Lepisosteus oculatus: one gene and its partners. The protein of the gene in region 4 interacts with the protein of the main gene of each other region in a biochemical or structural test. Links are inferred from orthologs where the notes say so. Each region holds a gene or a part of one and is shown on either strand. Other genes may lie near its edges. The genes, in order: scn4ab, dgkza, adra1d and snta1.

Region 1 (8,093 bases), on a different chromosome or scaffold from region 4:
TGGTTTGTATGCTGTCCCCGTGTTTGTGTGGGTTTCCTCTGGGTGCTCTGCTTTCCACCACAGTCCAAAGAGAAGCTGGTGGGTTAATTGGTCTGGTGTGTTTGTGTCAGAGTGTGCCCGGCAATAGACTGGTGTCCCACTCAAGGTGTATCCTGCCTTGCTTATTGGGTTAGGTCCCAGCCCCCCCACAATCGTCTATGGGACAAACTGGCTAGAAAATGGATGGAGAAATAGATATTCACTAACAGTATCAGTACAGCATCAATAAACATGCCAGCTGACCTCTACTTGCAATTATTAACACACTTAAATTGTGCTCATAAAGCACAGGTTTACAAACACATAATGTAGTGTTAAAAACTGTTTCTCATTTGCGTTTGCAACCCCTAAACCAAAGTCTACCCTCTTCTAATCATGGGGGGACTTAGACAAAACAAAGCCCAAACCTTGGAGCATCAAAACACTCAGGAAGGTCAGATTCCAAGCCTCTTATTGCATCCCATTGCAAAGAACCAGTCCATCCGAATAGCTGGATACATTCACTGGCAATTTGATTTACATAATAAGGGCACTGACTATGTTCAACGCTGTAGGGAGTCCACAGCATAGATGTTCCCCGGAGGCAAACCCAAAACATTTCACCTCAATTCCAGCAACAGAGAGACTACATTTTATCCCTACAAGCAGGAATCTACATTGAGAAAAGTATATGGTGGCAGTGATGTGCCATTTTTCACCATTTTGTATAGCACATTATGTCTAACAATTACTTATTATGATTTCCTTCATCTATCCATCTTAAGCCCTTAATATATCCTTATTTCATTTATCCTAAATGGAAGCCTAACCCAGCAGGTAGAGCACACAAGGTTAACTGCACCCTGGAAAGGGTGCCAGTCCTTCACAGTGGGGCAAACACCCACACACACACAATTTAGATGTTAAATGAGAAGGAACTGAGGGTTTTAGGGCTGTAGTGAAGGTCTGGGGACTAGATTCTCAGGATAGGTCTATTTTATTTGTTTTTAAATATTACTCTTTGCTTAGCGGACACTGTTGTCCAGGGAGAATTGCAGTTGTTTACAATATACAATAAGTCGAAAAACCAAAACAGAAACCATAACAACAACAAAAAAGACAATATGAATAATTCCATCAATATCCAATAAAGAGCAGCATGAAGGTACAGTAATACCACGCAGGGACAGGGCAGAACAGTTGTTTCGCAATGAGGTCATTACAATGCAAATCCAGGGGGAGGCAAAAGATAACATCACAAAGTTAAGACAGCATGCGACCAGAAATCAACAGGAGTAGTGCAGTACATACTGTAAATACAGGTAGCCTGGGAGTGACTGAATGTATAACTGAGAGAGAAGACAACAATGACATTACTGCCCCTGTCAAGTGTGTGTGAAGGCAACACACCTGCCCTATCTATCAGCTGAAAGTAATTAGAAGATACATGCAAAGCAAGTTATTATATCAAACCAAAGGTGCAGGAACGCCAACTGTAAAACTGCTATTTTAAAACAGATGAGTTTTTTTTATGCACAGAATTTTTAAATTCCTCAAATGATTCAACCTAAGAAAGAAAGCTGGCCGTTTTATTTTTGACTGCGAAAGAGCATTTTCTTCCAGGGTGTTGACGTGGTGAAGAAGTTCTAAACGGATAATATGGTTATCCCTTTTTCCCGTTGTTAAATTGCAAACAGATATCTCCCTCGCAGCCTGAGCAGAGCGTCTTTAAAGACCAGACCCTTTCCAGCTCAATTTCAATACCATTTTCTCTTCCTTGCTTCTCGCATGCAACCCCTCTCCTGTGCACTCTCCTTGCCTGCCTGAATGGATCTGATTTACTGCCATCTTATTCTCTCGGCACCTTCCAAATGCTGATCTCTTCTTATTACCCCCTCTTAGACCCAGCTACACCAGAGCTTGTATTATGTTTCCATAATTGCCCTCGTTTACCGGTTTGTGCTATTTTTTAACAACTCAGCAAATCCTTAAAATGACTCACCTTCATGAAAGCTTATTAATAACATATTGACAAGGTAGAAAAGATTCATTTTGAATTTTGCTTATGGGTGACACTTGCATTGTACGTCCAATACTGGAATTCCTGTCCTTGGCTTAACCGAAGTTTTATTATACCTGATCCTACTTGTGATCATATCTATTATTTCCTTTTGCATCTGTATGTAATGTCAAATATGGCTAAGGGTGTCTAAACAAAATAATAATAATAATGAAAGTAACAAAATGAATTTCAGTTCTAAAGCTCCTATGTCAGTGACAGATACAGGTACATTGTACTGCACACTGTAACCTGCAACAACCAGAGTGCCTGTTTCTCCTTCGCAGTCCTTTTTCAGACAGGCAAACAGTTCCTGTCCATCTGGTTTTTTGTTCGGAATGCACTTATTTCTGGAAGAGGCGAAAAGGTTTCAGATTTAAGTTCATGACTGTGAGTGCTTTTTAAAAAAAAAAGAAAGAGCAAATTGTTTTTACTCTGTTATCATGCAGCTGAAATGCAAAACTTTTTTCAACAGCTACACATGAGTGTTGCTTATCTGTATTCTCAGTCCCAATCCAGTCCTGCACTTTGACTCTTTCATCAAATTTCAGCTCAAACTATAATATGACCTAAAATATTAAAATATATAGATGAAGGAAAATTGATAAGGGCAAACAAATGAACCTTCCAATGAAGGGTCATTTTTGGAAAAGCAAAGCCGGTTGTGCTGTTTGAACTACCTCAAATAAAAGATTGTTAGCAAATCTTGTCACTTACAGGAGCCTGCGAGGGAATCGTAATTGTTTCCATTTCCAGACAGAAGTGGTTTTATTCTTTTCCCAAACTTCTAGTAACAATTTGCTGGACATCTTGTCCGGATCCATGACTTCAGTTATCAGTGAATGTTCCTTCCCGCAGTCTCTATTTAAAAAAATGCTCCCTTTCTGTCCCTCAAAAATGAATTTAAAGGGTCCTTTTGTTCATTGGCAATGATTATGAAATTTTAAGTTCCACCCTCTGGCTGCATTTGAAAGAAATGAAGCTCAAATCAATATTCCAATGTTTTTTCCCCCCAGTGCAGCACATTCCGAACTTTTCCCAGAAAGTTCACTTTTAGTTCTTCCTCTTTGTTTTCTTTGTGACAGTTGATTGTTCGCCTCATTCGAATTGTCCACAGCATGGCATGTGCCTATGTTTTCTAGAGGTTAATTTTGTTGAGGTATTAATCTTTGAGTTCCTCTTCACCTCTAAACTGAATTGACTGGGAGAGGAGCCTTTTCTGCTGTTCTGAACACCCAGACAAAGGCAGATTTTAACACTTAACATGCCTGGTTTCTTAAGACAAAAAGCAAGTGTTTCTTTTTTACTGTATAAACTGTGGGATGTCTTCACAGTTCAGCAATACTTTTATCCAAGTCAAGCCAAAGACATCATGAATGCCAAACGTGTTATTCAAACAGGTTGTTCAATTTAAGAGCACATGGCCGCCAGAAACTGTGAGAAAAGGCCCCACTCATCAGCCTAAAGAGTCTGGTCCTTTTTATGGCATAATCTGATTTTAATTCCACAGAAAGAACACAGACAAAGAAGCAGTGTTCTTTTCTTTTTCAGTAGTTGTCTGGAAGCCCGCCATATGCCTCCCTAAAAATAAGTAGGCTCTTTCTTAATTGCTGTAGTGTGTACAGGGCAGATAAAAACAACAATAGATTCTGAGAACATCTCTGGACTAGGTCAATGTCACTCTACATCCTATTGGGCTCACTAAGAGGTCAGTCTGGCCAGTCAATTATCCATCATAATGATGGATGTATTTACTAATAAGCCATCCATTTTCTAATCATTTCTTCCAATTCAGTGTCACAGGCAAGGCAGACTGTGACACCCTAGATAGGACCCCAGTACTTTGTGGGGCACACACACAGATACACACACACTCACCCTTTAGGCCAATTTTCCCAGGAGCCAATTCACCTACCCGGAAACCTCACCTCTTAGCGGAAACCCACCCAAACAGTCCATCAACAAAGTTAATTGAAAAGAAATACATCGCTTTAGGTAGGAATTACCATACCTTGGATTTTCCCTTTTTAATACAGCAGATATGTCTCTAAGCTGATAATTAATTTGCTGTATGTGGAGTACCACAAGTATCTGTTTTAGGATCCCTGTTCATCATGATTTGTACAGTATCAATGATTTAGACACTGGTACAGCTAGCACCTAGTCAAGCTTACAGATGATACCAGACAGAAAAAGAACATAAAGTATACATATGCAATTAATAACTCTACATAACAAAAAGACTTCCTGTAGAATTTGTGTATAATTTTGCTCAAACGTAGAGAAAGATACTTCTGCTCTGGGATCTGTCCAGAGAAGAGCAACCAACTGCATTCTCAGACTGAAAGGAAGTGTCCTGCACTAACAGGTTAAAAGAACTGATATTGAACAGAGAGGACTTCAAGAAGGATATCCAGGCTTCTTTAAAGAACTGGTTAGTCATGATCCTCAGATCAATTAACTGCTAAAAGTCCAATAAGTTTAAATGGGCGAGTGGTCTCATCTGCTTACTTTCTTCAGTAATGTGCTGATGCAAAGTAATCTTAGTTTGCACGGAAGTTACAGAAATATTGAGGTACTGAAGCCCGTTTTGCATCGGTGACTATACCTAAGTAAGCAAGGTGTTACCGTGGACTTTATATATAAAATAAAATAAAGCGTTAGAGAGAGACACAGACGCGGGCTCGTAAATCCACAGGTCTATAGTAATAAATAGGTACAGAGGAGCTGATAGGCGAGAGGGCGCAAATAAACGACAGAGTGGGCTTGGATGATTTGGAAGATGTGCTCGGGGAGAGCGCAGGGCTGGGAAAAGCCAGCGCTGGGTCAGATACGATGGCCGCCCAGCTGCTGCGGGCAATCACCAGCAGCGTCGGGTTTCAGCAGGCCGATGACTGCGCTCATTCCTGCCGCTCTGAAACCTCCAGCTCTCACATCGCACCGATAAACAGCCTCGCATTCCAACTCGGCTTACCGGCTCCCTCTCTCCCACTTTCTATTTTACTCGGGAAAAACCCGCTCGCTTCCGCCTGCCCCTCCCGGCCAACATGTCGCTTCGAGTTAAGCTTTCATTTTTTCTGCCAGAAATGGCCAGCTCACAGTTATTTTCCCACAACTATTAGGCTACACCGTGCCATTCTAGTGGTCTATAAAAAGGCTGCTGCTTATATCCAGAAGGTTATTTTTTTAAAGATATTCTCCTAGCCAAAGGGGAAGGTACAGACTTAGAAGATACTTACTAAAGGGGGTCTTTTAAAGTTGTGAACGATATTTAATAAGTGCCTCTGGAGTTCTGGAGTTTAGGTCTAAGTAGCTACCTGTGTCTGAATTTCTTTTCTTTTCACAAATAAATACAGAACCTTTTACAGTGTTATCTATATACCTAAAACAGTATATATGCGACACCTAGATAAAATTACAAAGCCAATAGAATTACTTTTGCCCAGGTGCATCAGCTCATGTATCATTTTGAATGCTTGGAATCTACCTGTGTCTGAGCTTTTAAAGGAGAGGAGAAAGACAGGGCTGGAAACGCCTGTCCTGTTGGCAATCAGAAAGCTGCTGGGCCCTATTTAGGGTGTTAAAAGGGAGATCCATCCCTCATGGTGAAGTCACCTCTGATTCAATTGTGAAACGGGCTCGCCTGTGTCTGTTCGGGGACAGTGATGCCTGTAGCAAATCAAGAAACGGGAAGGAAAAAAAAAGTGTGTCTTTTGGGAAAAATTTACAGAAGGGACAGAAATCAAACAAAAGCAAAATGTGCTTCCGGCTGTCGAAATAGTAGGCCGGAAAACAAAGCAAGCAAAAGCTTTCATCTGCAGAATTGTGCATCACTCCTCCGGAAAATTGTGGCATTTATTTTATTAGATTGCTACTGAAATGGGAAGGGAAATGAGACGCAGGCCAGTCCGTACAAAATTTGGAGAGCACTTACTGAAGGTTCCTACTTTAGAGGTAGGAACCTGGAAAAGCAACAGGGTTGAGGGTCATTATGGGGTCATTAATTAGATTGGCTCGCAGATTTCCTCCTGTGTATTTCAAAACACATCCTCATTGCAGTCCGTCTGAATCAGGTTCATTAGAACCCATTAACAGCAGTGATACTGAAGCACTTTAGCTAGCTGCAATTTTTTTCTTCTTCAAACTAAAATGGCATTATGTGTGCAGCTTCGATGAGAGGAGCCAAGAAAGAGCAGGTCAATCACGTATACTGTAGGACTACGTTTTTAGGAGCAGATCGCAAAGTATCTGAAAACATAGCGTGGCATGGATACTGTAAAAAAAACAACAACTTCATTTCTGTCTGAGGATAATGGGCCTGGAGAACTGAGACAATTAGTACAGAATGTCTCCACAATCTTATAAACAAAGATGAAAATGGCAGATGAAGCAGGACTGCACAAGCATACTCTTGATTAATTAATGAACACACTGCAATAAAATGCTGAATTTGGCTTGGAATTAGAAGATAGACACATGTAACAGCCTCATGCATGACCAGTTTCTGTACCCCCGTTTGCCTATAGCTCAAACCACTGTTGATACCAGCAATGTTTTCAGCGCTCGTGAAAACACCCAATATCTTTGTTCGGTTTGTTAGGGGGGCAAGCTGATGAAGTCATGCTTTATGCTGGACAATAGTCGCCTTTTCAGCCCTGCTTTTGCTGCGGAGATCTGTGACCGCCGTGGAATCCGACAGTGGAAAAAAGAGCTGTGGGGCTGGAGGAAATGAGCAGTACCAGTCCCTGTAAGAATAAAAACATCCCTGCTGTAGCCTGGAGGTCACAAAGGCCACAATTCGCAAGGAAGGTAGGGAATAATGCTCGGAAAGAAGACTTCACTTAGCCCATAGGCTTGGGATCCCAGTAAGGATGATCCACATGATCCTGCACAGGATGTGCCAAGGAATATGGATGTATATAGGAAATATAGGAGTTGTTTTACAGTAGCTAGGCATGGAATGTGAGCTAGGAGTTACCATCAGGAAGCTAATTTACTCAATTTTAGGTTTTTGGCTCTGAGGGTAGCATGCTTTAATACACTGGATACTACTGCAGTAACAGTCAGGATAGAAATACCTTTTCTATTATTGTTGAAAAAATATCAACACTGTGAAACAGAACAAAAGTAAGCAAATCAGTAGGAGATCACATACCCCACTTTTGTTCTGCTAGCTGATTTAGGTCCTCTTTCTCAGGTCTGACTTTTCTTTATTTTTTCTATAATTCTTCAATCTTATTTTAAGAAATTGGACACAGTCTAGAAAGTAAGCAGCCCTGCGGGAGTGGGCTTCTGTTTTCTTAAAGGTTAGTGGTGGGTTCTGGTTGGTGTGCCCTTAAGACATATGCCTCACATGACAAAATGTCAAATTATCAACTTCAGGTTTCAGACTGATCAGATTGGTAACTCTTGGAGTCACCCAGAAGATTCCCTTGGAGAATGTAAATTCTATAATGTAAATATATAATGTATAGAAACTGAATTTCAAATTAAGGCAGAGACCAGTTGCACAGTTGCACCTTTTCTGAAAATGTCAGTTCGTATCCTGAATAGACTCCATTTTATATTAGCCCAGAAAACTTTGGAAGACATATACTATCCTCACAGTGATAAGATAAGAAATATATTTTGCCTAGAAGTCCAAAAAAACTGTATAGGTGGACATACAGTACTGTTCACTTTTTAACACGACACTGCTGAAATACATATTCTACTGTATGCCAATAAACTGGTCAGAAAGTCTGTGAAGAACTGGGACTGCGAGAACTTTTAGACAACACGTATTGCTCTGTTAAATGTGTACTGTGCAGTCACCTGGGGTTGCTTATAGCTTTTTTGAGGGTAGGCCTAAATCTGTGATTAGAGATGCAGCAGGTATAAAAACACAACTCATGCTTATTTGTGTCGTTGTGATTCCATTGTTATTAGAAGTTACCACACTGAGAGATGAGGATTGTGTTTACGTCTCTGCTCTGGGCTCGAAGAAGGAGTACACATGAAAGGAGGCCACTCAATC
Region 2 (8,301 bases), on a different chromosome or scaffold from region 4:
GTTGATGCACTTGAGCAGTGGATGAAGTGGGTTCCCTCCCGTGTTCACACTGGGATCCTTTCGGAAGAAAGGCATTATACAATTGCATTAATTATTAATATTCACAACTTTCTAATGATAGGCAGAAAAAAGGGTTCATTTGTCAGAGAAGAGCAGTGCATTGTATTTGGATGCTGTGGGCTTTGCATGTCCGCAGAAAGGGCATTCAACTAAAACCTACCTTGAGAACTACTGTATGAAGATCTGGGTTATGAACACAGGGAAATTCTCCTGAAGAACACAAACCTCCGTCTTCCAAGGCAGAATGAGTGAACAGCAACGGAGACGGATGCATTTTGAAAGAGTAACTCTCCTCCTTCTGCAGTGCGCAAACAATTTCTTTTTCGGAAATAAATTCAGTCCGGGTGCACAAAAAGTTGTCAGCAGGAAGATCTCGGGTTTAATCATTAGCAAAGCTCTATAAACTTGGTGTGGGGTGGAACTGGAACAGAAAAACGGAAACTGCAACGATCTCTTGCTCTTAGACAAACCTTCTCCGTTTGCCAAAATGGAACCAATCATGGGCTATACAAGACCACAAAAGGTTTGTTAATATTTTGTAATACTTGGAAAATATCTGGAGAACATACTGTAGATAAGCATTCCTTTTTCTTTTAAATGTGTCTGCCAAATTTCGTCCTTTGATTTTTCCCCGACAAGATCTGTTCAACGCCACAAACCAAAAAGTTTCCCTTACCACTATTATATTTTATTCTGTGCACATCTTACAATGCTTTCCACTTCTCTTAAGGTTTTCTGAGGAGGTGGTAGTAAGACACTCCCCGTACTAATGGGAACTAAAAAACCTGATTAACCTTAAAGCTGGTCACAATACAAAGGAACAAAGCTGAGCACAAAGCTTTGATCTTAGAATTATCTAGGAAAACCAAGAGCATAACTCTCCTACCAAATAAAACTTTCCAATACATTTCAGGGCCCACAGTTCATGATTTAATGCAGAATGAGCACAACCAAGAGTCTGCAACCCAGTCAGCCATCACAGACAACAACTCTTGGGAAACGTGTAAACATTTTCATTTTAAACATTATATTATTCAAACTACTTGTGGTTATTTTATTATCATAACGTCTGTCAGTGAAGGGTGCATTTTGTACTAAAAATGGTCTTGGAAAACCGATCGTAATAACTGAGCAACAGATCGCTTCTTACCAGATGAACCATAGCATTATCTGATCACACCTCTAATCTTTATTTTTGAAAGAAAACCTTTTAGCATTGTACTCTAGCATTGTGAAGGAAACTTACTTTAGGTTCAAAGCTTACTGTATATGCAGATGATTCTCATTTATTCATTTATTCAATAAATGTAAAAAATAAATATCTATCCAACTCAGTATTGAATATTTGGGGGATTTCATGGTATAGTAATCCTGTGCAAATTATTAATTCAACATTAAAATATTCTGGAATAACTCACTATTGCCCTGGTTTCCTTTCCAAAAAGATGTGAGACACCACAAACTTATTACAGCTATATTATACATAAAATGAGACTTTAGGTATACACTCCAACAGAAAAACTACTCAAGCCTTTATTTTTATACATACTGTACTACTGTACCAGTAAATGTATTTGCCAGTTACACATAATGAAATGCATGAAAATGCATGAAATGCATATGGAAGTATTATTTCTTTTGTAAAAAGTGTTTCTAGAACTAGTATTTCCAGAACCTACTCAAACTACTGTTTCCAGAAGTAGTTTTCTTTAATTACCAAGAAGCATATTACGACACAATGATTATGTCTTAAGAAAATAAACCACAAAGGAATACATTTTACACCTAGCAATTGATGTCTGTTAATTACTTGAGAATGCACTGTGACCATCTCACACAAGGATAAAAAACACAGGTCAGTTCTCTGACCAGCATTTCAGTAAGTATTTTTTCAGGCACTGAAAAAAGAACTTTTTTTGAAATTATTAAATTGATAGGCTAAACCACTGCCCTGCCCTAAAAAATAGAAGAATGCATTTCTCTCCCTCTTGCTAGAGCTTCATTGGGACCAGTTTGAAAAGAAAAAACACACAAAAGGCCTCTGCAGTATTTTCTCCCCATCTCTAATCCTCTACACTGTAAACACAACATTATCATCTGCAAGGAATTAAAGCAGCACTAAAGAATCAGTGTTTTTAGGTTTTTCTTTTCAAATTTGTACAATTACTTCACACAACAATTGCACAAAAACATTTCAAACTATTTGCTTTCTTTGGGGTTTTGAAATTGTATCGATTTTCATCTTCAACAACTTGAACACAGTACCTAGTAGTTTACATTAATTAGTTAGAAATTACTTGAACTCTGCAGCTTGATAATAAATTGATTTTGGGAGCAGTGGTTGTGAGACTGTAAGGTTGTGGGTTTGAATCTCAGGAGCGACACTCCTGTCGTTCTCCTGAACAAGGTTCTTCAGCTCAGTTGTCCCAATAAAGCTACACAAAAGGATACAAATAGACATCGCTTGAGATAATATACACTGATTCCTGAGATCTGTACATCATTGATTGATGTCTTAGAAAAACTGGCCTTTGTTTTGAATAAAACTTATTCGATAAAGTGGACCTGGCTTTTTAAGAATCAAAGTGGAAACAAAAATGCATCACCCTATGTGGAACATGACAGTTTCATACTTCACAAAGTCAAACCGTAAAATTCCAAATTCCCCAAAGGAGTAGCTCTAAACGCACTACATGTCAAGCGTTTCGCCATTTGCTTTAAAATGGATCTTTAAGCACAATGACACTCATCTTCATTAACAGAGGAACTGCTAAAAACCATCCCAGAAACACAGAAGTACACTATTGCTTGCACTATAAAAACAAACCTGGTTTTATATTTTTGTACCTTGATGCAAAAGCATTTCTAAAAAAAAAAAAACAATTTAAATTAAATCAGTCCCACTGCAGAATTTTAAATCTTTGTGGTAGTCACTATATTCAGTGTACAGCCACGTACAGTATCAGTGTAAATATTAGAGACCTCTAAAGAAATAAGTTCTGCGGCTTCAAAAACTAAGACAGTAATGCATTCCCAGACCAATTTAAAACAACGATTTTACAAGACTCAATAGTAAAAAATATTCATACAACCTGGTCTCTGAGGAGAGAGAGTGTTTATCATCCAACCTTTCTTTTGTCCTGTAAACTCCAAGTGATTTAAAGAATTAAAAAGTATAGATCAATCTCTTGGAAGGAGATAGGAGACGGCTGGCCTACTGTAACAGACTTGCTGGAGTGGAAAAGCCAGAGAGAAAAACGTAGTAGGGGGGAGTGGGAGAGAGAGACGATGTGAGTGCTTGCATTAAAATAACTCTTGAGCTGGTAACAGAGTGCACTTCCTCTATATGCTGTTGAGTGTGCGCGCGTGCGCGTGCACACATGCACACACACAGTCACTCGCTGGCTCAATCTGCACAGCAAATCCAGCCAACAGATTAACTCTGTCCTTGGTTTCTACAGCAACCATGCACATAAGTGACCTGACACTAGCACGTACACAAACACACACAAACAGATGCACCCCAACTGCAAGTAAACCAGTCCTTTCAGTTACTTCTGCAAAAGCAAACTTTTACCCTGTCAAAAGCACTGGTGAAAAGGAAAAAAACATGCATCAAGACTCAAAGTTTACCCAGTTATGGTCTAGTCAGTGACCTAGAATCCAAATAGATCTGCATCTCTCACAACAGTCACAAGGAAATTGATAAATCAATACGGCACAGAAATCTCAACATTATTTTAACAAATAGATCTTAATGGCCACACATCAAGAGATAGTAAGAACACAGCAGTGTGTGACTATTTAAGTTCTAAATCAATAGCTTACAATACTCTTAGATAGAGCTAAAGATAAACATCACAATTTTTAAAGGAAAACAAAATAAAACAAGCTTGCACTTGTTTGAGATCTGAAACAAAGTGCCAATTAATATGTTTTATGATCCCTTTTAGATATTGTCCTTTAACAAAGCACAGATGAAACTGAAATGTCATTTACTGTTACCTAACCCATGTTTCTGTCACTGAAGAAGATTTTTTGTATTCTGTAACATCCCCATGGAGTGATTTAGAGACTAAAATGAAGCACTCATTAAATGTCTACAAAATACAAACCTTTCAATTTTAATTTAAAAAAATCTGTAGATAGTGAATTTAAAAATGCAATCTCTAAAACCTCTCTTCTCTTATGTTCTTTGAAAAACATATTTGCAGGTTATGTTTTTGATAAATACTGTTTTGATAAAGAGCAAGCTGTAGTTGTTATGAATTTGGGATATATGAATATTAATTAGTCCCAGTTGTTTCACAATGCTCAACAAGTGCCAATTTACAGCAGCCTCTTTAAGCAGTTCTACTTCCTGGCATTGTGAAACAGACATGGCTAATTAAATAATTACTTATTATCTATGATATATTATGTACCCTACTGACACAGGCAAGGATGTTGATAATCACAGCCAGGCTCATCCTCTAGAGCAGAAAGTTCACGCAAGGTGGAAAGAGCAAAACAGACCATCTGACGTAACAAAATCTCTCCCAGAGAATGAAGTCTCTTCGTTGCCGGTTTCAGTTCCGTAGGGTTTACTCTTGCTCAAAAACCTGACTCCTACCTACCAACAGATCTTCCCCACCCAGCACAGATGAAAGACACAGCTTCATCCTCTAATACTCTGAGGCCGTCACAATGGGTTTCACATGTGCCTCAACCCTCGAGAATTTTCTATAGGGCATCTTACTCTGCAAGCTCTCTTGGGAAATAGAGTTCAACTAGCATCTTAACCCAGGATGATGACTCTCCAATTCATGTTCCAAATCTGTACGCCTCACAGGTTCCTACCCCAGAGAATAAAACACAGTTTACAGTATACTGTACATACATGCAAATATTCACATTCACACACTCATATTGCATATGTACACAGAATTCTGAAATGTTTCTTTTTCTTTGTTCACTGTGTGAATTAAAGGGCTTGACTGTGGCCTTGTCTCTGGTGGGTGGAGATACGAAAAAGCCAAATCTGTCCCGAGCAAGAGATGACCTTCCATGCATAGCACACTGTACTGTACCTGGTTTCAATGTCTTTAAAACCAATTATCATCCTCTCATAGCTGGTTCGGAGAATTGAATTTCACACCAGAGGAAAGGCAATCACTCTTTAGATTGCACAAAAGCACACAGAGAAAGAATCCATTTTCACCTGTGATTTCCCAAGCTGAAAAATGTGCTTGTTAACATCCCCACCCCCATGGAAATCTGTCACAACAATTGTTTTTCCCTGCAAAGCCTTTGCTGCCTCTTCGGCTCCTTTACAAGCAAACCTTTCCCCGAGAGACAGAATCAACATATTTCACAAAAGTTCCCTAGTGTAGATAAAGAGGTTTTACAAATGTTGACACCAAGCAGCTAACAAACTCACGTTCTGCCTCAGAGTTATCATTTTCACAAACATAAAAGCCAGATAATTAGGCTCACAACATCCATAGACAGATGTCAAACAAGCACTTTTAAGACAACACTACAGTAGGTCACATTTGTCCAACTGGACCCAACAATTTGGGAAAGTGGGAAACACAGGTGTGAGTCTGGGCTCTGTTATTTGCCAAGAATTACCCAGGGTTCACCAAGCCCCTATGCGCCAGCAGCATTATTATCAAGAGCTACAGCTGCCCTCCGTCTGAGGCCCTAGCTGTGTCAGCGGTGCTTGGGGCTCACAGTGTGAATAGGACAAGGCTGTTTCTTTTCCTGTGCAGGCAGGGAGGTTGGAGAATTGGCAGCTCCAAATCTGAGGCAGGTGAATGAACAGGATAAATTGCACCACCTTAAAAAGGTGCATCTTCACATGCTAATTATCATCCAGCTCTTGGGCAGAAACAGAAGAATGTTCAGGCTGCCTCCCTCAGCACCTGTCGGAAGGCACTTTTAACACACTACAGTGACAAACGCAAATGAGTTTGCAGCAAGAACATTTGATGTGGCAGTTGTGGGAGAGAGCATCGGTGAAATCGAAGAGCTTTCTTCTCACCTGGTCGCCGGCTGAAAAGCAGAATCAGGTGTGAGCTGTGCAAGTGGTTTAAATTCATTTGCAAAGGAAAGCACGTCTTACGAAAGGGACTGGCTGCGTTATCTTTTTTAAACATTCAAAAGTGAAACGGGCTCTGGGTTTGGACCATTTATTTCTTCTTGCCAAGATTGTAAATAACATTTGGTGGCTTCAGTAGTCATTCCTACAGTCAGTAACAGCGTACTTGAAAATAGGAATCTTTTGTGAATTTAGAATGAAAAATGACGTTTCTTCTTGGTGGCTGTGTTTTAGTTTTGCATTACTTCCAGAGCTCAGAGAGGTTGCTGTTCATCATCAAAACGAAATGAACACAGTTTATTAACTGCTTGTAATATCTGATCGCCAGATCCCGGACAGTACAGTTAGCAAGGCTGGACTTCGTCAGTACAGGGATTTGAGATGTCAAAAGGAAAACCCAGATTGCCAACATTAAATGGTGTCAGGAGAACAGTAGGTGACACTCATACTTTAGGATTATTCCTAATTTCCAAAAAAACAAATACCCCAGGATGGTGACTGAGGACACTCTCCTTTGGATGATATTAAACTGAGGTCTTAGGATCTTGATTGTTAATCTTACGGTACTGTTTAAAAGAGTAGGAGTGTTAACCGTGCTGTCTTAGTAAATTCAATGGTTGGTTTATTTAATCTGACCTACCTAAGGTCCCTCTCAATTCAGCACTTGACCAGGTAAATACTCAGCTAGTTTCTTTAGTTGCACTGCAAAACATACAGGTCTATTTACTCTAAAACTTACACCTGCTTACCTATCCAAATGCCCAAGTGATTTGAAAACAGCCCAAAGGTCTATTATAATCTAGTATCCACATCTGTGACAGAAAGATTTCCATCTTCTTTAGGTAAGCAGGAATACAGAAAAAAAGACAAATAAGCCTATATCCAAGGCAAGGCTGGAAACTGAAAGTTGATCTTACAAAATGTTTACATTCTTTTCATCTACAGACAAATTCCAGCCAGGGTTCCCAAAGATGCCATATGGTATGAAATCAAAACTAATCTTTCAATCTGCAAATGTAGTTTAGAGGGTTAAGAAAGGTTTTAACAACTCTCACTCTGCAGTATTTTTCTGTATTTGAAAGTCACTGAAAAAAACAAGGCTGGAGACCTTGGAATTGCTCTGAACAAATGCAAAAACAGGCACCCAAAAGGGGATTTCAGAAATTCTCCTGTCTGGCGATGAGCAATTCCATTTAAAATTTCATCTGCAGAGAAATTCAGATCTGCCCTGCAGCCAAATAAAAGTAAGCAAATCCATCCACAAGCTAATTATAAAAGTGGTCCAAAATTAAATGTGCAACTTAATTTTATATATGCTGTCAAAGCCAAAGCACTTGCCTGTGTAAAGTAAAGTATGGCATACAAAACACAGCATAAAAAGTTATTCAAAACGGTTTTAAAGGGAAAAAAAACTCTATACTCAGTGCATGACTTTTTTGTTTCGAGAAGCTTTCTTAGCCCCGTCTATTAAGAAAGAGCTCACAAGGGCTCTTTTTGTTTCCACTTCAAGGCTGAAACGCCAGTGAGTCACTGACTTGCCTGCCAGGACCAGGGGCCGGAGCCCCAGCAGTGTCAAAACCAGCCCTGGCAGGGGCAGGTAACACGTGAATCATGAGGTAAGGGCCCGGAGGGACGCAGAGAGCTGGCCAAACCAATGCCAAATAATGCTGGTCGTCATTGGGAAGGAAAGGGCAGAAGGAAAAATAGAGCAGGGGTGGCCTCCGGGTCTCTCTCTCACTGCTCCCTTCATGCCTCTGCACAGGGGGTTCTTTCAGTGGAAAAGAACGTGCTGCTTGGAAACCAATGACAACCGCAACAGCAAAGCACCTGAGGTCTCCCAGTGGCAGAAGGTTCTTCTAAATTGGCACTTGGCTCTCAAACTTGCTACCACGTCCCACTGGACAATCATCGCAATGGACGCGCCATTTCAAACACGGAAAAATCAGCCCGGTTGCTTTAATAAGGTGCCGAGGCCTATGAAACACCATGTACTTGGCGTGCCACCCAATTTATCTGAAGAGACACTTTGAACTTAACCGTAATCCAGTTGCCACTTCAGTCCCCAAGTTTTGTGTACACACACTATGCCTCTTTTCAACAGCTGTTTATAATATTGGAGTGCAGTTCCACATCGGCAGTCAAGGAGATGTCTTGCACCT
Region 3 (8,399 bases), on a different chromosome or scaffold from region 4:
AAAGATTAGGTAATTTGACCAGGTCTGCTTATTTAAATGTTGAAATATATTGATCTAATCACAATCAGCTTTTCCTTTCAGAATAATCATTGGTTTCTACATAATTACCGGATTGCGAGATTCAGTCACCTACAGTATACCTCCTCCTTTCAGTGCTAAATATACTTCTTATATAGTAATTTTCACTTGTGTCCTCATGTACTTGTGTCATTGATGAGAATGAAGTAGTCTCTCAGGCTAAATGTGCAATACCATTCAGGGTTTGAATGCTTTGATTAAGTCTTTTCATAATTTCCTCTCTTCAAGGCTAGAGGCTGCGAAAGGGGTAATTTTGCTTCGATATTTTGTTTAAGGTCGACTCTTCAAAACTGCACCATTTCTTAAGCTGAACTCTGTGACCTTACTGACGCTACACCAAGGGCCACACTCACTTTACTTTGCTGAATTTGGGTTAATTTCTTTTACTGTAAAAATACTTTTCTTTGTAACCACTTAATGCAAATTATATTAGATTAAAAAATGATTACATTTTCTATTTATTTACTAATTTGAATGCAGGATTTGGCCATTGATATACAGTACACACATCACGCTCGTAAACCCCTCCTTGGACGCTCCAGCCCTTCCTTGTCTCCATCTCCAGCACCTGCTTCTGGTTCCTGCCCCATGTCCTATAAAAGCCAGACGTTCCTGCCAATCTGGTCTCAGCTTTGGAAGATGGACGCCCGGAAGCCCACCTCCCCGCGAGTCCAGGAGCGACTCGGCAGCATCGGCTTCAATGGCGTCCTGACCTTCTGGGTCCAGGACTGGAGCGTCTGGTCCCGTTATCCCCCTTTTATTCCTCCAACCCTCCACCGGATCCCGCTCCTGCCTTTTAACTTTGTTTGTCTGTCAGGTTGGATCTCCCAGTTTTGGACATTGGAATATTCTCGGATTTGCCTCGGACTCCTTCGGACTGTTTGCCTCGGACACATCCCTTGAACACCAGCACACCTAGAATACGCCCCCTGTTTTCCTTCCAGCCCCTTTGTATGCTTCCCCGTGTTTTCCTCACTTCTCCCGGATTGTGCTGTCTGCATAGGGTCCTGAAAGAACGCTTCGTGACAACATATATCCTGTCATACTGTACACCTTTCCAAATTCAAGTGTATAGTTTTCCATGGTTTCCAAACACATGCTGTTTAGTCATGCAAGTGATCCCTACCCAAAACATTTGTGATTCCACAGCTTGAAACAGAAATGCCAAAAGGACATGAAAGATGTACTACTGCAACAAAACTGTGACTTCCTGGTCAAATGTTTTTTTCTTATCCTCCAAACCCATTCAATTAGGCTATTTTTGAGTTTTGAGTCTTTACATATGTTACAGATAATCTACTGTACATTAAGGGCCAGAGCCGGCTTTACTTCTTGAGCAGGCTCACGTCCTTCAACGTGTGTAGTAAGATGCTCCATATGTTCTATCAGTCGGTTGTGCGAGTGCTATTTTCTATGTGGTGGTGTGCTGGGGCTCTGGCATTAGAGAAGGGGATGCTAACAGGCTGAACAAGCTCATCAAAAGAGCAAGTTCTGTCATTGGGTCTGATCTGGACCCCTTGGAGGTAGTGGCTGAGAGGAGAATGGTGAACAAGTCTCCCATCCCCTTCTATGACACGCTTGTGAGAATTAAAAGCATGTTCAGCAATAGACTGATCCAACCATGGCACAACAGGGAGCACTACAGGTGGTCATTCTTACCTCCTGCCAAAAGACTGTACAACTCATCCACTGTGTGTCTGGGCAGGGGCACCATTGGCCTGTTTTGTGTCTAAACATTAATTCTCTGTTAACAGCTGGTTTTCCTGTTTACAACTGATTTTTATGCAATATATGCTAGAAATTGGTGCAATATATGTATAATATGCACTACATCTTTTGTGTACTGTACATTCTGGTTTGTTTTGTATCTTCTGTAATGTGAGCAATTCTGTATACTCCATTAAAACAAATTACTGCACTTCGCACTGACTGTACTCACTGTATTGTATTGTTTATTATTGTATCTTTTCATTACACTGTGCTGTGTTGACACTGCAATTTCCCTCAGGGGATTAATAAAGCTATCTAATATATCATGTTCCATTTTGTGTTTGTTGTATTTTGGGAAATAAACAATTAAAGATAAACACGTGGTAACATCCATCCATCCATTCTCTAACCACTTCATCCAATTCAGAGTCACTGGGGAGCTGGAGTCTATCCTTAAAAACAATGGGTGCAAGACAGTATACACCCTGGATGAGACACCTGTCCATCACTGGGCACACACAGACACAGACAAATAGATGCACTCACACTAGAGCCAATTTTGATGTATGACTTATACCGTACTTAAAAGACAAAAACAGAGCACCAGGAGGAAAGCCACACAAAGGGAGAGATTTTACCACAGGATGAGAGAAGGAGTTGTAGTGAAGATGCTATGCCTTATTCTCAGTAGAACTTTTCAGGTTTTATCATGTGAACATCAAGGATCAGTGAACTTTCTTATTGCTTTAATTATATTGGGTAAATCTTCACCAGACAGTTAAGTGAATTACTGTTGGTGTGATGGATTCGCACAACAATACATTCAGAGACAGGAGAGAAAGCGTTGTCCATGTTACATAAGAAATGTATGCACACATAGCCCTATCAGAAAGGGTAACTAAAAGAAAATGCAACAGAATGGAGAATGGACTGTAATAACTATGCTGTTATACCTGGGTTAGCCAGAGGTCGCAGATCTCTGTCTCCTCAGTAACCAGACATATCAGCAAGAGGACAATGTACTAGAACACCACCCTGGGCTGTTCAGACTCTCTCGGGTCCGTTGTCCCTACCACCTTCTTCCAACAAATGGGTGCTAATTCCCTCAAGTCCAGGAAATACAAAAGAGAATTTGCCACTTATCCAGTGCTCTGTCATTGAGGTACCATCCAACCCAGGTAGTGTACTAAGCATTATTAACCTGTGTCTCAGAATGACACCCAGCCTGAATCCTACCTGAAAGACTCCCTGTCTGTCCTGAACCTGCTCAGCCTTTCTGTTGTCGCCAACCACCAGACCAGGGGCACATTTCTTCACTTGCAGCCTGTATTCCCACTGGAGAGTGTAGCCTAGATCAGTCCTGAAAGCTGCGTTCGCCATCTTTCACAGATTAGTCCCGTCTGCGACTGCCTTCCGATCTGCCTCAGTAATCCCCATCCATCCTTGTGAATGTCCGAGCCTTCGCCGGGATCAAGCTCTTGGATTCATCAGCCTGTCAGCAAGATGCCGCTTTTCTTATCCGGTTGCTACATCAAAACAAACACATTTTATTTATGTGAATGTAGTGAGTGTCAACACATGAACGATAGAGTTGTGGCATTCTAGTCTGTAGTAAAAAATATCAGAATCTATTAATCTAATCTATTCAGTCACATAATGCTCTATTTCTTATCAACAAAAGAACTCTCTATCACCTTACCCCACTAGGACAAAAAGAGAGCATGAACATGGAAAACTTTATCTAGGATGTAGCAACAGAATCACGAGACTTAAATTTTCCTGTACTCATTGAGTACCCCACTTACATTTCTCTGATCTGATAGGAACTAATACAGCATATGAGCTATCTGGGTGAGAAAATAGTGAGGAAACATTCAAATTCAGATCACACTTCAACCACTTTGCATGAAAAAAATCACTGTGTTGAAAATTGATACGTGGTTGTATTGAATAAAACAATCAGCCTTAGACATGTACTTTTCCAAATGTGTTGTATCTGAGCTCATTTTCTGACTTTTGCTTCCTGACTAATTGGGTATATTAGTGTCAGTTGCAGTTTGTAAATGTGAAGGGAAGTGTCATCTCTGATCACTACAGCCCTTTCCCTTGTTTTATAAAAAGTATAACTTATCGTGCATATGCTGAAATCATAAGCTATATCCTAATCTGTTACTGATTACGACACAATCAGGCTAGGTCTAAACAAACAAACTAAAGTCTTGCATGCCTTATACAGTACCTCCAGCATTTTCAGCATTTTATCAAGTGAAAATAAGGTGTAAAGGGCATTACACAGTGCTGTTTAAAAATTCATAATGGTAACTATACCCACAAGTAAAAAATTCTAAATTATTATCATTAATTTATTTTCCTGGTGCCCAAACAAATAATTACAGTATTACTCACTGTCCGGACAATATTTCAATGTGGTTTTGTACTTCCACTGCTTATTGATTTTGATTTTCTTTTTCCTTTGAACAGAGCCAGTTCCTTAAACAAATATGGCATTTTCTAAATACCTACAAATGGTGTTTTCAAAAACAAAAACCTATGGCTGCCATTGCCATGAACTCATAACTGCCAAAAGGGAAAAAGCTGCTGTACACCACAGTAGTAACAGATCTGTTTCAGTTGTATCATGAAGTCAAGTTCATGATGAAGACAAGGCTGGGGAATTGTGCCACTTAATAGTGAATAGCATGATACCAAGTGAGACATAAAAAAGACAGGGGATTAAACCTTCTGTAAAATTTAGACACAGCTTTTTTTAGATTAATTTCTACTGCTATTTCTGAAGACTTTTTCTGTGTCCTGCTCTCCAGTGAAAAGTCTTTGCAGTGGTGCAATATTTCAGAAATATTATTACTAAGAATTCAAGAAAATGTAGGAAGGCAAAATGTTCATAAACCTCAACCGTCTTGAAGAATAACATCCTGAATGAATTATAGGACTGTGTGTTCCTTTAGATTACTTTCCCTCTTAACCTTTCAACATGAGCCTCTGGTGGCTCTTAAAATAAATGTCTGTTTTGCCAGAGGGATGTGTGCAGTGTTTTGAACAGCAGCTGCGTACCATCAATGGGAATAGAGGTTAGCCTTTCGTTAGATCAGGACAGTGTAGTGGCTTAACAGTGTTTTTTCCTTCACGTAGCGACGACTAGCTAGGCAAATCGTTACGTGTTCCACTTGAGCTCCGAGTATCGAAACTTAAATCTGCCTAACTTTTTTAACTACATCACAGAAAGAGAAACATAGATGAAAGAAGTTTTAACGCGATTGTGTAGAACATGATCTGTAAATTAAGAATGTGCTGTCCTCTTGTGGACTTTCGTTGAACAACAACAATTATGTGTCGCGTCACAGACTACATTCCTGGGAGGAGGAGACAGTGAAATCTCAGCCGCAGCTCAGTAATTTGGGTTTGAGTTTTCTCACAGTGGATGTCGTCTGTGGAATATCAACAAACAGGGCAATACTCTTCACACGGCAGAAAACAAAACGTTAAAGGAATATCGTTCACAGAACTAATTTAACTGTCACTAATAATAGTAATGGAAAAACAGAAAAAAAGTTGAAATAATCTAAGAGGTGAAATGATCTTCAGAGTGAGATATATTGCTAAACTGATGATTTAGAATTTAACCTTTTTTGGTGTTTTTTTGTAGGGGGGATGAATGTGATGACGTTGCTGCAAAGCTTTCCAACAAACATGTAAGCACAAGTATTTCCACTCTCCAGTGCGACAGACGCACCTTGAGCGTGCGTTCACAAGTTCTTGCGTCTTTTCATATCTTTTGAATTATTTCCATACTGCAGCTCCACAGCAGTGCTTTAATGGTCTCATTGTGTCTCTGAACTAACTTAAAAAAAACGTTTTTCTTTATGGAGTTTCAAAATGACTTTTTCTGACTCGAACAATGATAACGATAATGGAAATTACTCCGGAGGCACCGGTAATCTGTCTCTCGCGGAACAACCTTTTGCCAACATCAGCAACAACACCTCCATGGAGCTGACATTGGATTCTCAGGCAATAGGGATAGGGGTGTTTCTGTCCGTTTTTATATTATTCGCGATCGTGGGGAACATCTTGGTGATACTTTCTGTGGTATGCAACAAGCACTTGCAGACAGTCACCAACTACTTTATCATTAACCTCGCCATAGCTGATTTACTTTTAAGTACTATTGTGCTGCCTTTCTCTGCCTCTTTAGAGGTGCTCGGATGCTGGGTTTTTGGCAGGATATTCTGCAACATCTGGGCTGCGGTGGATGTGCTGTGCTGCACTGCATCTATTATGAGCCTGTGCATAATCTCGATAGACAGGTACATCGGAGTGAAACATTCCCTGAAATACCCTACTATAATGACAGAAAAGAAAGCGGTGGTGATCTTAATAGTTGTCTGGGTCTCCTCTATGGTTATTTCAATAGGACCGCTGTTAGGATGGAAGGAACCGCCGCCGACAGACGAGAGCATCTGTAGCATCACCGAAGAACCGGGCTATGCCCTTTTCTCGTCGCTTTTCTCCTTCTATCTCCCGCTCATGGTCATCCTGGTGATGTATTTTAGGGTCTACATTGTAGCCAGGAGGACTACTAAGAACCTAGAAGCGGGGGTGAAAAAAGAAAGGAATAAGTCAGTGGAAGTCGTCCTTAGGATTCACTGCAGAAGTGTCCTGGAAGAAGCCGCCGCAAGCGCTAAAAGCAAAAGCCACCCTTTCCGAAGTTCCCTGTCCGTGCGCCTCCTGAAATTCTCCAGAGAAAAGAAGGCGGCCAAAACTTTGGCCATCGTTGTCGGGGTGTTCATCCTTTGCTGGCTACCTTTCTTCTTAATTTTACCTCTAGGTATGTAAGAAATCGTTATTTTGTTTTTGTTTGTAGTAGTGTGCGGACCAGGGCGAAAAAAGGTGTGTTCTTGCGTTGAGACTAAATGTGGCGTGAGAGTGTGGGGGATTTTATCGATTAGGTTACCCAGTCTAACAAAACTACTAACGTCTCTTTGTGTAAACAAACGTGCAATGTCGTTTCAGTAAAACAAACAAAAAAAGTGATTACCTATCCGTGTTAATGGACGCTGTCAGAAAGTAATGCAGGCGCAACTGATCTCGTTCTTATTGATGCTGCCTTGATAAAAACGTAGAAAAAGCTAAACGGGAATTTTGCTTTTCTTTTCAAAAATATAAAATAAAATGTGTCTTCGTATTCCTGCAACACCAGCAATTGACACCAGAGAACTGATGCGGTGAACAAATTATTTTGACTAAATTACAAAAATTCAGTAAAAAAAATACTTCATATTAACTAAAACAATCGGATTGTAGAGTATGCTTAGTTTACAGTGTAAAGTAGCGTTTAGTGCTGTATATGGTTCAGAAGTGCTTCAACATATCATGTTTTCTATACAATGCAAAAACAGGTTTAGATGATGGTCATAAAGATGTTTTTCGTTATTAGTCACTCTCCAAATAAAACCAGCTATATAGATATAACCAGGTTTCGTTATTCTTAAATAGAGATTCAAGACTTAATTGAAGACCAAATGAAAATTAAAACAAAGTGAGTTGGCAAAGCTCTTCTCTTTTTTCCCTTTCTGGCAAAGTGTGGGAAGAATTAATGGCTTATTGTTTAAAACAAGTCCACTACTCAAACTCACATTTCAAGGCATTCTAGACTGTGAATCCAGTAATTTCAACAGTCTGTTAAGTTCTATGGCTTTTAAAATCTATCCTCTGTAAATGGTCACATACCTCTATCTAGAGAGATTGTATTTGTCTTAAAGTCTTGCTGAAGTATTTGCTTTTCCCAATATCTTCTGGTACAATTAACTGCCACACTTGACAATTATAAAACTTTAAATGTATGTTCTTAACAAATTTAGCAAATATCATTCATGTTAGGTTTTCAGTTCAGATACTCTTAGAGTATTTACGTTTAGTTTACCAAAAAGTAATATTAATATATTTTCAATTTAAAACATATAAATCTCACTGTTTTCACAATCAGTTATATCATATTGCTTAACTGTAAGGAATAAGACATCAGGATACTCAGCTTTCAAACTCTTGAGATCATGTACTGTATTATTACGTAATTTTATGTAGTCCTATAAGAAATTAAATGCATCTGTATAACCGAGATATATAGATATTACATCTATATACTGTATAACATGTAAAATTAGGATTCTAATTATTCGGTTATGTCTTTCATCTTATTACTTATTATAGACACTTTTCCACTGGTTATTTTGGGTCATGAGGGAAAATTTCTATCCTGTGTTCCCATGAATAGAACTAGGTCTGGTTCATTAATAACTTATGAAACAATACATCAATGAGTCTAATCTGAAAATTCCCTTGTTCTAAAATGTAATGACTCTCCCTTTTTCTCATAATGGACACAGATTGTGTACTTGAAGACATTGCACACATTAATACATTAGTGAATATCAAATAAAGTCAAAGATATTTTTTTTCATAAGTTAAATGAGAAGGAGGTTGTTGGTTTTCCTGGTATGTTAAGAAGAACAAAGCTTGACAAGTAATGTGTTAATTTAATCTTCAGTGATATGCAAATATCACATTATGAGTGCATAACAATTAACACTAAA
Region 4 (7,831 bases):
ACAAATAATTCCAGTTAAAAGAAAAGTCAGAATGAGAGATACACCTAAAATGTTATATTATTAGTGATGCTAATCTGTCCACCTACAAGTAATTTATTAGTATAATTACTGTTGTAACTGATTTATACACGTGTTTTCAATGGAGGTAAAGATTTTATTTCCAGTTTATTCGTTTACAAAAAAGGAATTATTTACAAGTTGTATAAAACATAAATTAAATACTGTTTGCAGAGGTTATCAGTCTAACTTCTTAAGAACAACTTAATAATAACTCTTTTGTCGTATTATGAAAAATGTGCTCAATTAGCTATTAGGTTTAGTCGGTGTCTTCTGTTTGTTGCTGATCATAACTTTCTTTTTCATTTTCTTTGAAAATGTATTTCATATCTTTGTATAGGACTGAATTGTAAATCAGCGTAACAATAGCGACACCTCCTGATTTTTTTATGGAGAACCAGTCTATTGGTTCTGTCAAACAAACGAACTGCCCTGTAACTGAACAGGTGAGACCACTATGGTCGTGCTTTTCTTCAATTTAAAATCCACGTAAATTAATTTATGTTTTTAGTTAATGAGGGAAAAATTATGAAATTATATAGGGTTTTTTGTAATTATAACAGGAAAACAGTTCGTAGCAGTGCCAAACTTCAGTTTCTCGGGTAAAACAAGACCAAATGAATTAAACGGGTGCCATGGTGATGAACCCAGAAAAATGTTAAAAACAGAAAATTCCTAACTAAACCACGAATACTAAACCAATCCAGAATTGACAAACAATTCTACTACTCTATTCTTTGTTTGGTATGACCGAATAATGAAGTTTCCATGAAAGGCTGAAAACAGCAAGAAACAGAAAAACAAGTTTCTTATTTTGATAAGCGACGACACCTGAAGACTCCAAAGTGTATTTAAAACATTTTAATTCCAACAAGACAAGAACAACCCAATATATTTGTCACCGAATCAAAAATTTAATTTAACAATAACAGCATCTCACTGAACTGATTCAGACACATCAGTGTGATTCATAATTCTTCACACCCATTGTTAAAACATGTCCCATCAAGAGTTGTTACCACCTGATCACACAGTATTGCGAAAGCTGTTTTGTTGACGCTGAAACCAAAATAAATTTTCATTACATATATCAAATATAAAACGAAAATATATATCGCAGGCAGGACTCTTCGTAAATGTAAAAGTAATAAAATAAAAGCATGTTGTTCCTTGTTCTATAACCAATAACAATAACAACGATAGAAACGGTGATCATGAAGCACTGTCTGTTGTGACGGCATTTTTTAAAAGTGTGATTACATTGCGATACTGAAATACTTCCACGAGGGGGAAATAGATATTCAAAGAGCTATCGCAAAATGCATTCAACCCTCCTTATAATTTACTCCTTCAACGTGAAACATTCGCCGAGGCGGACAGTCCTGGTCCTGGTCCTGGATGGTTTTCTAGGTCTCCTCAAAGCTGCACTCAAACTAGAGCTGGGAGAAGCTGTTAAATTGATTAATTCAGCAATGAATTGATCGAGGTAGTTAAGAGCTGAATTGTAACGAAAACCAGCAGATACACCACCCCTCCAGGCTGTCTAACTTTGAATTGCTGGGATGTACTGTTTGATAAATTGTATGTAACATGAACTGACATGTTGCAAGAAGTAATTGCACTTTATTAGACATTATTCACAAAATCTTTATGGATTCTCTTTGGTATCGAAATAGAGTGTATTACAACAGCAGTTCTTTTATTAATTTAGTTTTGATTAGTTTGATTGTATTGGTATGTTCATCTGTTCACTTCAGTCAGGAATGTCCAGAGGTGATCGTTTAGAGATACAGGGTGTTGATGTTTTCACAAATGACCTACTTATGTGGTAAAATAAAATGTTTCATGTTCTTACAAGTGTATGAGAAAGTTCATAAGGGCCGAGTTGTCAGTTGAACCCATTGTCCCCAGTCACTTTACATGTGAGCGGGATTTCAAGAGTTCTCTGAAACTGAAATAAATTAACATCTGAATTGAGAAGTAAACCCTTAGTAAATTGATATTGCTGCTTGATTGCTGCCCTTGGCCTGACAATAAAATAATTTTACATGCAATAAAAATAATAAAAAAACAACCAGAATATTTTAAAGATTTTATTTAAATCTTATTTGCAGACACTGTTACTAACAAGATGCCATTTACACTGTCTTTATACTTTTGTTTTCATTTGCACAGTATGTTGAATACATAAGTAATCAGATGTGTACTGTTCCTTTTACGGATGAACGTTTCAGTAGCCAGTGCAAATTAGGATTCCACTTTAAACAAGAAACTTACAGCTTTTAAAAAAAAGGATACTTACTGGAGTACTGGATACTTATTTATGTTCATATTGTATTGTTTTTGTCCCCTGTGGTAATTAAGCAGCCGTTTCTCTTCAGTAAAGATTAAGTGCTCAGTCCAAACAACAATTTAATTCAGGTTCATTGTGGTGCCAGTTGGTAATGCTTGGTAATGATGACTGACAAAACCTTCTGGATTGGCTTGCCATGACCAAAGCTGGCTACCCCTTAGCTATTCTACTGTATGTAAATGTACTCTGTTTCCAAAAGAGACTGTCCACTTCATTTTCAGCAGACAGTGCGCCTCCTGTTGAAAGATGATATACAACCTGTCAGGCTCATCCTATAAAGAGAGAAAGGAAATCCTAGCGACTAAGTATTCCATATATGGTCCAGGCGTTCCTGCTATTTCACCTGCTGTCTAGTGCCAGATGCACTTCAATGCTCCTTTAGGTTTTGCACTACTGACTCCTGCTATGGTCTGTCCTTCACTCCTGTCTTCCCCACACAGGACGTTCTCCCCCGAGTGTTCAGTCCTCAGGAATCTGCAGCTCCTTGGCTTGCCTGGCATTTTGCATGGCCTTTCAGACCGCCCAAGCTGACACCCCCAGTTACAGGGCACTGCGATAGCTCCAGAAGTGCTTGTAGGTCAAGGGGTCAACCTCCTGCAGGTAGAGGCACATTGGCCACAGGGTCAGGTAACTCTTTATCATGATTTGCTTTGTGTTTCTGCTGACGCTCACAGCACTGCATGAAATGGCTAACGTCGGTTTGCAAGGTTCTGCAGGCCACACAGCGATTCAGCGACTTTCTGTTGCCCAAACCTAGCTGCCTTTTGACAGAAGAATGCCAAGACAATGTTACCTGTATGGATGACAGCAAGCCTTTACCACCTGTTTCACATTTTGCTAGTTGACCTTAAGTAACTTGAAGCCACCACACAACTGGAAAAACTCTGCCCAATGGACTGATGTCTGACCTATTTGTGGAGGGGAACTTAAGCCATCCCACCTAAAGATATTTATGGCAGTAAAGATAATGTAAATGTCAAAATCGATGTTAATTAAAATCCCTTCTAATGAAACACTAACAAGCTCAGTATATAGACACTGCTAAATTAGTAGCTGCAGAGATAACAACTACAAACACTTTATAACATAAATATTCATAATGGCTCCACTCCTCTCATGCTAAAAAATATATTTCTGGAGCCACCCCTGGTTTTTAGATATGGCCTTCATGAGCACAGTATTATATTTATGTACCTTTACATGCAGCAGCTGAGATGATTCGTTTTCAGTCAGTAGCACAAGTGTAAAACTCTCATTTCGAGCTTAAGTACTGAACAAGTGGTAAATTAATTACTGCTTAATTTCAGAGTGCTTTGTAAAATGGGAATGAGCGACTTTGGTAAATGATCTGACTGGCCTTGAGCACAATTTTCTCTCTCCAGAGCAACACATCCACGTGATAGTGAAAAAGATCACAGACACAGACGATAAATGTGTGCATTATGAAAGTTGTTTCACAGATATTTTTATATTGTAAATTAATATGCTTACAGTATGTAGTACAATTCATGAAAAATAAGTTCATATAATGTTCTGCAATTATTTTCCATTGGAGTGGGAACAGTGCATACGTAGGGCATTTTGCTGCCTTTTCTCTTCTTTTGTTAGGTCTGTTAATACTGCTACTGCTACTACTACTACTGCTACTGATAATAATAATAATAATAATAATAATAATAATAATAATAATAACAATAATAATAATAATAATAATAATAATAATAATAATAATAATAATAATAATAATAATAATTGCACTACAATCCTTGGAATCTCACTTCGAGAAGCCATCTTCAGAGAAAAAAACAGTAATCAGTTTTATTCGGCCATTAAACATCTCTGAACTTTTTCTAAAAGCGCCTACTTCACTGGATTGTCACTATTATCAAAGCAACTTCTAATGCGTAAAGCAGAAAAAGAGCTAAGCGCCGCGATTGCAAGAGACGGAGAGGGGAGGGTCCGTGGTGTTCCTCTCTCTTGGCATCTCCGATCATCACCCCCCACCCCCATCTCTGTACAGGACTGCCAACCCCGTACAGAGTGGAGTTATTCCAGGAATGTGTTGAACATGGCTGCCGGGATGAAGGCGCAGAAAACTGGACTGTTGGAGCTCCGAACCTCCGTGGATCGCTGGATCCGTGTGCTCGCCTGTCTCACGGAGGAAAGCCTGACGGTGAGTCCGGGAGAAGCTACCGTTGAGCCTGTGAACCCCAGCCTGAGCCCAAATCCCCTGGGAGCAGTGAACGGAGATTCAACCAGCGTCGGGTCGAGCTCTCCAGTCCCCGAGTCGATCACCAACGTCAAACGCACGGTGCGAGTCACCAAGCAGGATGTTGGGGGTCTGGGAATCAGCATTAAAGGTAAAAAAACAGAATTTGCTCACACTTTCATTGCTTTGTAACTTAAGACATAAAAGTTTACTTGAAGTTAAACTTCTTTCATTGAAGTTTGTTTTCAAGTCGACAGCTCTTGACAGCCTTCGTTGTGTACATGTAGTTACATGTACAAACTAAATTATGATTATCATTAATCTCCCGAATAAGACAACTGGACGTATGTGTGATATCACATTATCGACTGTTATCAGGTGAAATTCCTTGGGCTCAAGTGAGTGTTGTTTTTCCGACAAATATACAGAACGAAGAAGAAAACCTCGGTCAAAATGTTTGCCCTTCATAACTGCATTTTGTAAGATGACTGGCATTGCATTTGTTGGGCTGTTGAACACGTGAAACAAGTGTTCTGTGACAGCAGTTTCCATTGCTGAAGTTGTTCAGGAGAATATCCCAGTTTAGGAAAACAGGCAACATTAGTTCTAAAACGGCGTGTGAATTGTACAGTACAGCGGATTACTTTGTGCCTTAACTTGTGATTAACATTGCTATAGTTTTACTGCTTAAATATTGTATACAGTTCAGGGAAGATCCTGAAGAGAAACAGTCTGATAATTATTTTACTAAGTGATGATTTAAGCGAGAATTGTAACGTATCGGTTATGACAAATTCATTAAAACAATTGTTTCTCTTAACTCATGTTTTCCTCGCGTGGAACAGAATGTTAGGATTTAATATTCAAATGATCTCAAAACTGCAAATCGAGCCATTCTCCAGATTAAGTGGTCAAAAATTAAGTTTAAAAATTGGTGAATGGAGTACTGAACAGTGAGTTTAAGACCAGTAAAGACGGCATTGTGGCAGGACAGGGCTGACCACTCTATGCGTAAGATAGCATCGAGTAGCCTTCTACTGACAGCAAACATTATAATTTATAATTAGGTTGTAAATATTTTAAGAAAGATTTGCCACAGTATCACAGTTCTATTATTTGATAATGATTGGTCACTTCTTATTGTGTCTGAATCAAAAAGGTACAGAGTTAAAAATAAACTCAGCTATGTGTCCTTTTAACTATGTGGGAAGAAATGAACAGCTTGATTTCAAACATAAAACTAGAAGTAGAAGTGCCACAATACAGTTTTAAATTAAATATAAGAGCATAAAAACATTTCAGCCTTTACAATTACCCATTTGGTAGTTATTAGCTACTTGATCTGTGAATTTCATCCACCTATTTCCTGAGAAGAAACAAGTGTATTGGCTTCCACAACATGGCTGGCAAGCTTGTTCCATACTCCCACAACTCTTTATGAAAAGAAGCGACTCTTGCCCTGAGTGGAGGAAATCACCCATATAATTCTTGGAAGACGCCAAGGTATCATCTTAGACAATGTGGCTGGTAGCTTGTTACTCCCACAAACCTATAGTATCTTTAATGTAATGATCTCCTAAAACACATCACACAACTATTAAAAGTTATTTTTGTTTAGAGAATGTGAAGTGAATTCTTGGCGGGACTGAAAAAATGTGACAAGCTGTTGAAAGAAATCTACACAGGCTGTAACCTTTCGGAATAGAAAGCTAAGTAGAATCACTGGATCTTAGGATAGTGTGAATTTTGTTTTCAGTAGTTGTTGTTTGCATGTGGAGGGGGGAAATTAGTTTGGAAACAGTACTTTTAAAGATTTCAGGTACTTGTTTGATTACTTTTCCCTTCTTATTAACTTTGTTTTCACTGATACGGGGTTTTACTGTCTGGTCCATCATCATTTGTTTCACAAATAGTTTTAGTTATATAGTAAGACAAGTCAAGTCAGATCAGTGATGAGAGGACAGACCGGCAAATCCTTAAACAGTTTGCAGAAGAATTTAGGAAGCTAAACAGACACTTTGGTTGTATAATCTCTTTAACTTTTCTGGTACAAAATTCAGTACCAACTTCAAAACTCTTATAATTTGTGGACGAATAAACACAGATAAATAAAATTGCAAGTTCTTTTGCAACAAAGTTCAGTACAAATCCTTGACATTTAAAAAAAGCAAAGAGGTGATGAAGTAATAATCCATCTATTTTCTAATCTTTTTTCCAATATAGAGACAGGGGGAGCTGGAGCCTACCCCAACAAGCAACAGGCACAAGGCAGGATACACCCTGGATGGGATGCTAGTCTAGCACAGGACACCACAGACACAAACACAGATACAAACACACACTCATTCCATGGTCAAACCTTCTAGGAGACAGTTAATCTATCAGTACTCTTTTGACTGCTGTAGGAATCCTGTTTCAGGACATACAAACTCCACACAGATAGCATGCCAGGAATTAAACCCAGGCACCCAGAGGTGGTAATCCCTGCCCATCATGCCACCCCTTAAAGTAGTAGTAGTACTACTACTACTACTACTACTAGTAGTGGTACTTGTAATAATAATAATTTTCATTAATGAAGATTCCAAAGTTCTTCACGTAAAAGTGCGGACCTAATTAATCCATTGTGGAAAGTTTTAGATTGCACAGCTCAAAGAAGAATTTAGCCAGGACTGTGGGATTAGCTTCCTTAATCTTTCAATAGTGCCTATGGATCCTTAATGATAAGGTCTTCTTTGAAGGACAGCACAGCATCCCAGTACAAGTCAAAGCCATGCAAGCAAGGCTCGTATTCTTCATTTTAAAAATACATTCAGTTTGCAGTTATTCCCTGTAGTCTTATTTTACTTTTCTGAATATGCAAGATTACTGCAAGATCTCATTTCTGGAGCACTGCTTTCTTTTCCCCTTGAAGTTAAAATATAATAGTTTGCTCAGGTGACTGATTTGCTTTGAGGTTTAATCAACAGAATGAGGCTATCTAGCAAAGAAGAAGCACAGGACAATGAAAGCAATGATCTTACAGCGAGATTAATTCCTATTCCTGCTTTTAATGGCCTACCATGTCTGCTGCACAGTGTGGCACATCTCTGGGCACTGTAGTGCGGTAAAGTAAATAAGGTATAAGGCCATTGAAAAACAGTATCATAGAATTATAGAGAATCGTAATAGTTGTTAACCAGATGATTAGATATCTCTGAATTATATATAGA

What was found.
Region 1: the proteins of snta1 (region 4) and scn4ab interact in a test that uses a peptide from one of them, tested with the Homo sapiens proteins (2 studies listed by BioGRID and IntAct). The link is inferred for Lepisosteus oculatus from reciprocal best matches to the Homo sapiens genes SNTA1 and SCN4A.
Region 2: the proteins of snta1 (region 4) and dgkza form a complex in vitro, tested with the Homo sapiens proteins (2 studies listed by BioGRID and IntAct, with this or other methods). The link is inferred for Lepisosteus oculatus from reciprocal best matches to the Homo sapiens genes SNTA1 and DGKZ.
Region 3: the proteins of snta1 (region 4) and adra1d interact in a test that uses a peptide from one of them, tested with the Homo sapiens proteins (2 studies listed by BioGRID and IntAct). The link is inferred for Lepisosteus oculatus from reciprocal best matches to the Homo sapiens genes SNTA1 and ADRA1D.

Annotation. Positions count from the first base shown.
Region 1 is NC_090723.1:7,791,812-7,799,904, forward strand, and holds the start of scn4ab (sodium channel protein type 4 subunit alpha B), read right to left. Parts: upstream 3,019-8,093; 5' UTR 2,902-3,018; coding exon 2,795-2,901; intron 1-2,794. UniProt on the Homo sapiens protein: Pore-forming subunit of Nav1.4, a voltage-gated sodium (Nav) channel that directly mediates the depolarizing phase of action potentials in excitable membranes.
Region 2 is NC_090716.1:4,642,739-4,651,039, reverse strand, and holds the start of dgkza (diacylglycerol kinase zeta), read right to left. Parts: upstream 3,376-8,301; 5' UTR 3,153-3,375; intron 1-3,152. UniProt on the Homo sapiens protein: Diacylglycerol kinase that converts diacylglycerol/DAG into phosphatidic acid/phosphatidate/PA and regulates the respective levels of these two bioactive lipids.
Region 3 is NC_090696.1:7,476,161-7,484,559, reverse strand, and holds the start of adra1d (alpha-1A adrenergic receptor), read left to right. Parts: upstream 1-5,229; 5' UTR 5,230-5,682; coding exon 5,683-6,634; intron 6,635-8,399. UniProt on the Homo sapiens protein: This alpha-adrenergic receptor mediates its effect through the influx of extracellular calcium.
Region 4 is NC_090711.1:15,463,905-15,471,735, forward strand, and holds the start of snta1 (alpha-1-syntrophin), read left to right. Parts: upstream 1-4,406; 5' UTR 4,407-4,478; coding exon 4,479-4,770; intron 4,771-7,831. UniProt on the Homo sapiens protein: Adapter protein that binds to and probably organizes the subcellular localization of a variety of membrane proteins. May link various receptors to the actin cytoskeleton and the extracellular matrix via the dystrophin glycoprotein complex.